Linked DNA regions of Oryctolagus cuniculus. The protein of the gene in region 2 interacts with the protein of the main gene of each other region in a pairwise test. Links are inferred from orthologs where the notes say so. Each region holds a gene or a part of one and is shown on either strand. Other genes may lie near its edges.

Region 1 (3,737 bases), on a different chromosome or scaffold from region 2:
TACCGAGGTATACCAAAGCATGCTTCCCAAATCTCAAATGTCCTATAAACTGCCTTGCATTTTTCAATAATGCAGAAGCTGTGAGTTTGAGCTAAGACTGGTCAACAGGAGCAAAAACGTGAGCTGCCACCGGGCTGGCCTTAGACTCTCAGAGAATCACCTGCTCCAAGCCATGACTGCGAGGTGCAGCCGTGTGCAGGTCATTCTCCCTGCGCAACTGGAATTACCGCGGTTAGCTCTGGCCCATACGGGAACACTAAGACACACAGGCACAAGGAAGGCCTGGGCCACACAGCCAGCGCGAGCAGCTGGAAGGCAGCCTCCCGGGTCCCTGCGGGATCGCAGGTCACACAGGCTCCCTGCTAATTAGTGTAGACGCCCTGGTGATTCACACGGTGGAATGCTGAAGCCAAGGATGCCGCCTAATAGAGGGGCCGTTGATACGGCTTTATCTGTGAGGTTCCATAATCACCCTAGTGGGGAAATGCCATGCGCCATACAGGAGCGTGTGCCCTGTGCCCGGGAATAAAGGAGGAGTGCCCCGCCCCCGGAATTACTCTCCTACCGACAATAGGAGATGTGCAGGAAGAAACGCACTGCCCCAGACTGGGCCAGTGACTTGCTTAAACACAAACAAAAGCAGGGCCCGGTGGAGGCTCTCTGAGGACAGTCACCTCGTCCACTTTCACGTGCTGAGGCTTAGCCAGACGGCTGCCCCCACACCTGTCGGTCCTTCCACAAGGAATACAGAGGCCTGTTCTGTGTCCAGCCTCCTGGGATAGGAAAGTCCCTACCTGGAGTCCCCTCTGCCTCTTTCTTTTATTTCTGCAAGCATCGTTACCTGTCATCCTCTTTCCAGCCCTGAGCCCAGGAGGGGGCCTTTCCTCCCACTTTTGTCTGCATTCTCTGATGGAAATCACATCGAGTCTCCCGCGCCCCACCTGCCCCCACCCCGGGACGCTGCTGGAGAAGGCGGGACGGCGACGGTCTGGAGGCCGGAAGGGAGGGGCGGGGCTGTCCCCGGCACCTGTCACCTGGCAGTCCCCCCAGCCCCACCCGCCCTGCAGCACGCCCCGACTCGGACTGGCCCGGCCTCCAGCCACCGACCAATGGCCGAAGGGCAGGGCAAGCTGAGCAAGCCGCGGCAGCGCAGCCGGGTCCCCGCCCTGTTCCCGGTTCCCGAGCCGGGCGCCGGCGGCCTTTAAATGCCGCCTAGGGCCGGCGCGACTCGGCCCCTGCCACCTTTCTTCCTCGGGCGACGGCAGCACGGCCGCAGCGGCGCCAGCCCGGACTCGGCGGCAGCAGCCGCGCTCCGGGCAGCAGCCGCCACCTTCGACCTCCCGGCCCGCGCCGCCGCCCCTCCCCTCCCATCCCCTCCCCCTCCTCCCCAGGCCCTGCCAGCCCGGTCGGCGCCGGGCCCCCGGGCGTGCGCGCGCACCCGTGTGTGTGTGCGCGCCCGCGCCGCCTCGGACCCGCGCCTCCGCTCGGCGCACGGCCGCCCCGGGATCCCCGCCCGCGCGCCGCGTCCCGCGTCCCCCTTGCTCGGTCGCCTGCCGCGCGCCCGGCCGCGCCGTGCTAGAACATGGCGGGATCGGTGGCTGACAGTGATGCCGTGGTGGTGAGTGTGGCGGGGCGCACTCGAGGGCCCCCTTCCCGCCGCCCGCTCCCGCGCCAGCCGCGGCTGGGGCGGGGAGAAGCAGCAGGCCCGGCCCGGTGCCTCGCGCTTGGGAAGGCGACGGGTACCTGCGAGCCGGGGCCGGGGCCGGGGCCGGGGCCGTGCGCGACCGGTGGGGGGCGGGGGGCGGGGACGGCTCCCCGGCCGGAGACGCCGCGCGGGGAAGCGGTGAGGCGCGGGGAAGGTGCCGAGCGGGCCCCTCCGTGCGGGCAGCCCCGCACCAGGTGTGTGCGCGGGGCTGGCGTGAGTGCGCGCGGGGGAGTGTGTCCGGGGCGCGCGCCCCGCCACCAGTCCCGACGTCCCGGGGATTCCCCCTTGGAACCGGGCCCGCGCTGGGGGCTCCCGACAGAAGTTGAGCGCTGCCGCTGCACTTGGGCCGGGTCCCCTTCGCGGGCCCGGGCTACAGCGGTTTCTGGAGCGTTTGCGGTTGGAGTCGGGCATGCCCACCTCCAGAGGGGGCCCTGGCCTCCCCCTCCCCCGCGGTGGGCCTCGACCTGGATTTGGATCCGGATCTGAAGGGTCTGCGGCTCGGCAGAGGCTTAGCCACCGGGAGGAGGGGGACGGGTTTTGTTCCGGGGGCTTAGGCGGTTACTTAATGGACGTAGGAAGAGGCATCGCCCGCAGACACTGCCTGTGCGTCTGGGCAGGGCTGCGGGGCTCGGCTGGCTTTGTAGAGGTGCTGGCCTCGCTCTCCCGCCCCCAGCCCAAGGAAAGGGCCGGTGGAGAGCCAATCTGTGTGCTTCTATTTTTAGAAACTAGATGATGGGCACTTCAACAACTCCCTGGGCTCTCCGGTTCAAGCCGACGTGTACTTCCCACGACTGGTAAATGATTGCCCTCCTCCTGTGGTCTCTTCCGAAGTGTGTTTCCTAACGGGTCCGGTCCTCGGGACCTGAGGGCCTGGCTCTTTCCCAACCGGCTGCAAACTTCCTGTCTCTCCTCTCTTGCCTTGCAGATAGTTCCATTTTGTGGACACATTAAAGGTGGCATGAGACCGGGCAAGAAGGTGCTAGTGATGGGCATTGTGGACCTCAACCCAGAGAGGTAAGGGCGAGGCCTGGGCCCGGCAGAAGCCGCAGGCAGTGGCCAGGCCTGCGGGCTCGGTGCTGGGCCAGCGCTCGGCCCCTGCCTCTCCTCGTGGACAGTATTGCTGGTTGGGATGCCAAGAAAGTACCAAGTTCCCATGAAAAGAATGTGTATGAATCCCAGCCCTCCGTGCTGTAGACTGCTATTTATATCAGAGATGATAAATATAGGTCCCCGTTTCTCTCTGACCTTTAGGGAGGCCAGAGGATTTTTTTCTTTTTTCTTCTTCTTTTTTTTTTTTTTTTTATGGTTTTAAAACATGGTGCATGGAAAGCAAGAACTACCAATATAAATAAGAACCAAAACTGTACACGATGCTATTTCCCCTGGTCAGTCTCTGAGATGGATTAGGACCCAGATGTGTGGTGGCCTGGGGTATTTGAAGTCTCTAATTGTGGGCGTTTTCAACTCCACCAAAGTGGTCAGCAGAGTCTGCTGTAGAGAGCAGAGTTCCCCGGGGTGAGTGCCAGGGCTGTTGAAAGCAGAGAAAGCCAGAGGGGGGGGAGGAGGAGAAAGAGGAGGAGGAGGAGGAGGAGGACGGGGTCGCTGTGAGACGTCTTAGAGCCAGCTCTGCTTTTCAGCTTCGCCATCAGCCTGACCTGCGGGGACTCAGAAGACCCTCCTGCCGATGTGGCCATTGAACTCAAGGCTGTGTTCACGGACCGGCAGCTACTCCGAAACTCTTGCATATCGGGGGAGAGGGGAGAAGAGCAGTCGGCGATCCCTTACTTTCCGTTCATCCCGGACCAGCCGTTCAGGGTGAGTCCGAGTGCTTCAGGCCCAGCGGCTGGCACGGGGATGCTGTGCTGTGCTACTTAGCTGGTGCGTGCCAAGAGCAGCCAGGATTTCTGCATGTCCAGGAACTTTGCCGGGTGATGAAAGCAGATAGAAAAGTCAAAAGAGGCGTTTGCTGATAGAAATTGATAATTGCTTTGGTAACTCTGGGCTTTATTTAGCCAAGACATTTAGTAAATAG
Region 2 (3,637 bases):
GCCACCACACACAGCCTGCTCAGGGCCACCACACACAGCCTGCTCAGGGCCACCACACACAGCTCAGGGACACCACAGCCAGATCAGGGCCACCACACACAGCCCAGGGCCACCACGGCCAGCTCAGGGCCACCACCCACAGCCCAGGGCCACCACACACAGCCCAGGGCCACCACAGCCAGCTCTGGGACACCACAGCCAGCTCAGGGCCACCACACAGCCCAGGGCCACCACAGCCAGCTTAGGGCCACCACACACAGCCCAGGGCCACCACAGCCAGCCCAGGGCCACTACAGCCAGCTCTGGGACACCACAGAAAGCTCAGGGCCACCACCCACAGCCCAGGGCCACCACAGCCAGCTCAGGGCCACCACAGCCAGCTCAGGACCACCACACAGCCCAGGGCCACCACACACAGCCCAGGGCCACCACACACAGCTCAGGGCCACTACAGCCAGCTCAGGGCCACCACAGCCAGCTCAGGGCCACCACAGCCAGCCCAGGGCCACCACACACAGCCCAGGACCACCACAGCCAGCCCAGAGCCACCACAGCCAGCCCAGGGCCACCACACAGCCCAGGGCTACAACACATAGCCTGCTCAGGGCCACCACGCAGCCCAGCTCAGACAGGCTTGCGCCAGCAGGGGACGCCGCGGCCCCGTTGCAGGCAGTGACGCAGGCTCACCTTGATCTTCTGTTCCTGGTCGGCCTTCACCTCCTGGCTGGCCTGCAGCTCCTGGATCTTCTGGTTAGCTTCCTGCCACTGTCTGTCACAGGACGACAAGGCATGCGGTGAAGCCAGCGACCCCCTGCCTGGCCCCCAGACACGCTCCCCCTGCAAAGACACCCGGCACCCTGGGCTCCAGCTCCTCACCTCACAGGGCGGGTGGGCAAGCCCAGACCACCCACGAGGTCCTTCCCAGCTGTGACCCCCCAGGTCCCCCACTCCCAACACCGCTCACCCCACACCATCTGCCTGCCCCGGGGCAGCTGCAGCGGGCTGCCCAGGACTGACCACTCCCTCACCCCTGCTTCAGCTCCGGTCATGCCCGGCCTCTGCCCAGCTTGTTCCCAGCCCCAGGACGCGCCCTCCCCACCCTATGACCTCGGGCCTGACTGAGGAGTCCCAGCGGGCTGCCGTCATGCGCGATCTGGCTCAGGGCCCCCAGGTCTGGGCACCAGCCCCTCCTGCAGCCGGGGCAGGCCCCCCCGCACCTGTGCCGCAGCTCCAGCTGCTCCCCCAGCTCCTGCTTCTCCGACTCCAGGCGCTTCAGCTGCCTCTCCTGGTCCGTCAGGCTCCACTGCAGCTCCGAGACCCTGCCCTTCAACGCGTTGATGGTCTGCGGAGAGGGGACACAGCAGCCGCTCACCGAGGCTGGTCCCAGTGCTTGTCAGGGGATGAGGCTTGTCTGCAACAGGGCGAGGACAGACCCACGCCCGGGGCACACGTGATGGACCCCATGCCTGACAGCCTGCCAAGGGCCTCCAGCAACATGAAGTGCGTCAGCCAGGGTGAGCCGGGCCTTCATGCCCAGGGCCCAGCGTCCACCTGGCACACACCCCTGCATCCCCACTGCGCTCAGCCTCCAACCCCAGCAGCGCCACACAGGAGGGAGCTGACCTCCAGGCCAGCGGGGGGGGGGGGGGGGGGGGGGACTTGGAGGGCTTGGAGAGCAGCGGGCAGGACCTGGGAGGCAGGCCCGAGCACAGCCAGCAGCCGCCAGGACCGCCAGGACCGCCAGTCCAGCTAGCCCCTCCGGGCCACCCTTGGCGTGCCTCGCGCCTCTCCGGGACCTGCTGATGACCTCCCACACCGCGTTCCTGGCTCAAGTCAGCACAAAGGCCGGCCCACTGAGAAGCGTCACACACATGGGCACACAGAAACCCCCGGGGAACCCACACAGCAAGCCCGCCACAGTGACTGGAGCTGGGCAGCCCCCCAAGCGGCTCACTCTGTAAACAGGCCCAGCACTCGGCTGCAGGGCCCCGAGAGCCCGTGCCCAGCCTTCACCCACGGAACGCACGGGGTGCCTCTCACCCCACAGCCCACTGGGGGCTGACACAGGCCTGTGGGAAATGGGACGCAACACACACACGCTGGGGGCTGACACGCCCACGCTCATTCAGCACACTGCAAGGGACCGACTCAGGAACCAGCAAAGGAGAAAGGTGTCAGACACCTGACGAGGAGCACAGGCTGACACACAGGGCCCATGGGACACGGGACACGACACGCACACGCTGGGGGCTGACATGGGGCCAGTGGGACATGGGACGCGACATGCACACGCTGGGGGCTAACACGGGCCTGTGGGACACGGGACACGACACGCACACGCTGGGGGCTGACACGGGGCCCGTGGGACACGGGACACGACACGCACACGCTGGGGGCTGACATGGGGCCAGTGGGACATGGGACGCAACACACACACGCTGGGGGCTGACACAGGCCTGTGGGACACGGGACGTGACACGCACACACTGGGGGCTGACACGCCCACGCTCATTCAGCACACTGCAAGGGACCGACTCAGGAACCAGCAAAGGAGAAAGGCGTCAGACACCTGACGAGGAGCACAGGCTGACACAGGGCCCATGGGACACGGGACACGACACGCACACGCTGGGGGCTGACATGGGGCCAGTGGGACATGGGACGCGACACGCACACGCTGGGGGCTAACACGGGCCTGTGGGAAGCGGGATGTGACACGCACACACTGGGGGCTGACACGGGGCCCATGGGACATGGGACGCGACATGCACACGCTGGGGGCTAACACGGGTCTGTGGGACACGGGACGCGACACGCACACGCTGGAGGCTGACACGGGCCTGTGGGAAATGGGACGCAACACGCACACACTGGGGGCTGACACGCCCACGCTCATTCAGCACACTGCAAGGGACCGACTCAGGAACCAGCAAAGGAGAAAGGCGTCAGACACCTGACGACGAGCATGCCCTTCTGGAGGCCCGTGGGACGCGGGACGCGACACGCACACGCTGGGCACAAGGACAGGCAGCCCAGCCTCGCAGAGGCTGCACCGGGAGCAAGCAGACAGGCAGCAAGTGGACAGGGACCCCTGAGGGGCACTGTGATGCAGGAACACAGCTGGCGGGGAAGGCCATGGACTTCCTCCTGGGCCTCCTGGGGGAGGCCACTCAGGCCGGCAGGTGGGGAGCGGCAGCCACGTCCTGGTGCCCCCCCACGGGCCCCAATCAGGCCTACGGCCGCCCCCTCTGCCCTTCACTGAGAGGTGTCCGACGGCCCTCCCCAGGGGACTGCAGGCCACAGCTGCAACAGGCGAGTGTGTGAGGCTGGAGCGGACTTCTCTGGACGCGGGCCACGCCTCCCCTCCTGCCAGCGCCCCTTCAGCAGACAGACGTGGGGACAGCCTTAACACGTCCCCGGCACTGCCAAGGCAAACACAACCTGCAGGCCGCCGCGAGGAGCGCGTGGGGACGGAACGCCAACCACCCCGCGCCTCCCGGCAGCTCCTCCGTGGCTCCACACAGCGCCGTGATGCTGAGCGCCACGCAACAGGGACGGGCAAGGCGCGGGCCGTCCAGCTCCCAGCTCTCGGGCACACACGCCTCCCCGGGGCCACAGCGCCCGGACACCGGCTTCA

What was found. The genes of interacting proteins can lie anywhere in the genome.
Region 1: the proteins of MAD1L1 (region 2) and LGALSL interact in binary tests that used the Homo sapiens proteins (3 or more experiments, as listed by UniProt). The two-hybrid records come from large-scale screens. The link is inferred for Oryctolagus cuniculus from reciprocal best matches to the Homo sapiens genes MAD1L1 and LGALSL.

The regions. Positions count from the first base shown.
Region 1 is NC_091433.1:138,337,440-138,341,176, reverse strand, and holds the start of LGALSL (galectin-related protein), read left to right. Parts: upstream 1-1,168; 5' UTR 1,169-1,582; coding exon 1,583-1,618; intron 1,619-2,427; coding exon 2,428-2,499; intron 2,500-2,630; coding exon 2,631-2,719; intron 2,720-3,342; coding exon 3,343-3,520; intron 3,521-3,737. UniProt on the Homo sapiens protein: Does not bind lactose, and may not bind carbohydrates.
Region 2 is NC_091450.1:37,072,162-37,075,798, forward strand, and holds part of MAD1L1 (mitotic spindle assembly checkpoint protein MAD1), read right to left. Parts: intron 1,343-3,637; coding exon 1,218-1,342; intron 770-1,217; coding exon 688-769; intron 1-687. UniProt on the Homo sapiens protein: Component of the spindle-assembly checkpoint that prevents the onset of anaphase until all chromosomes are properly aligned at the metaphase plate.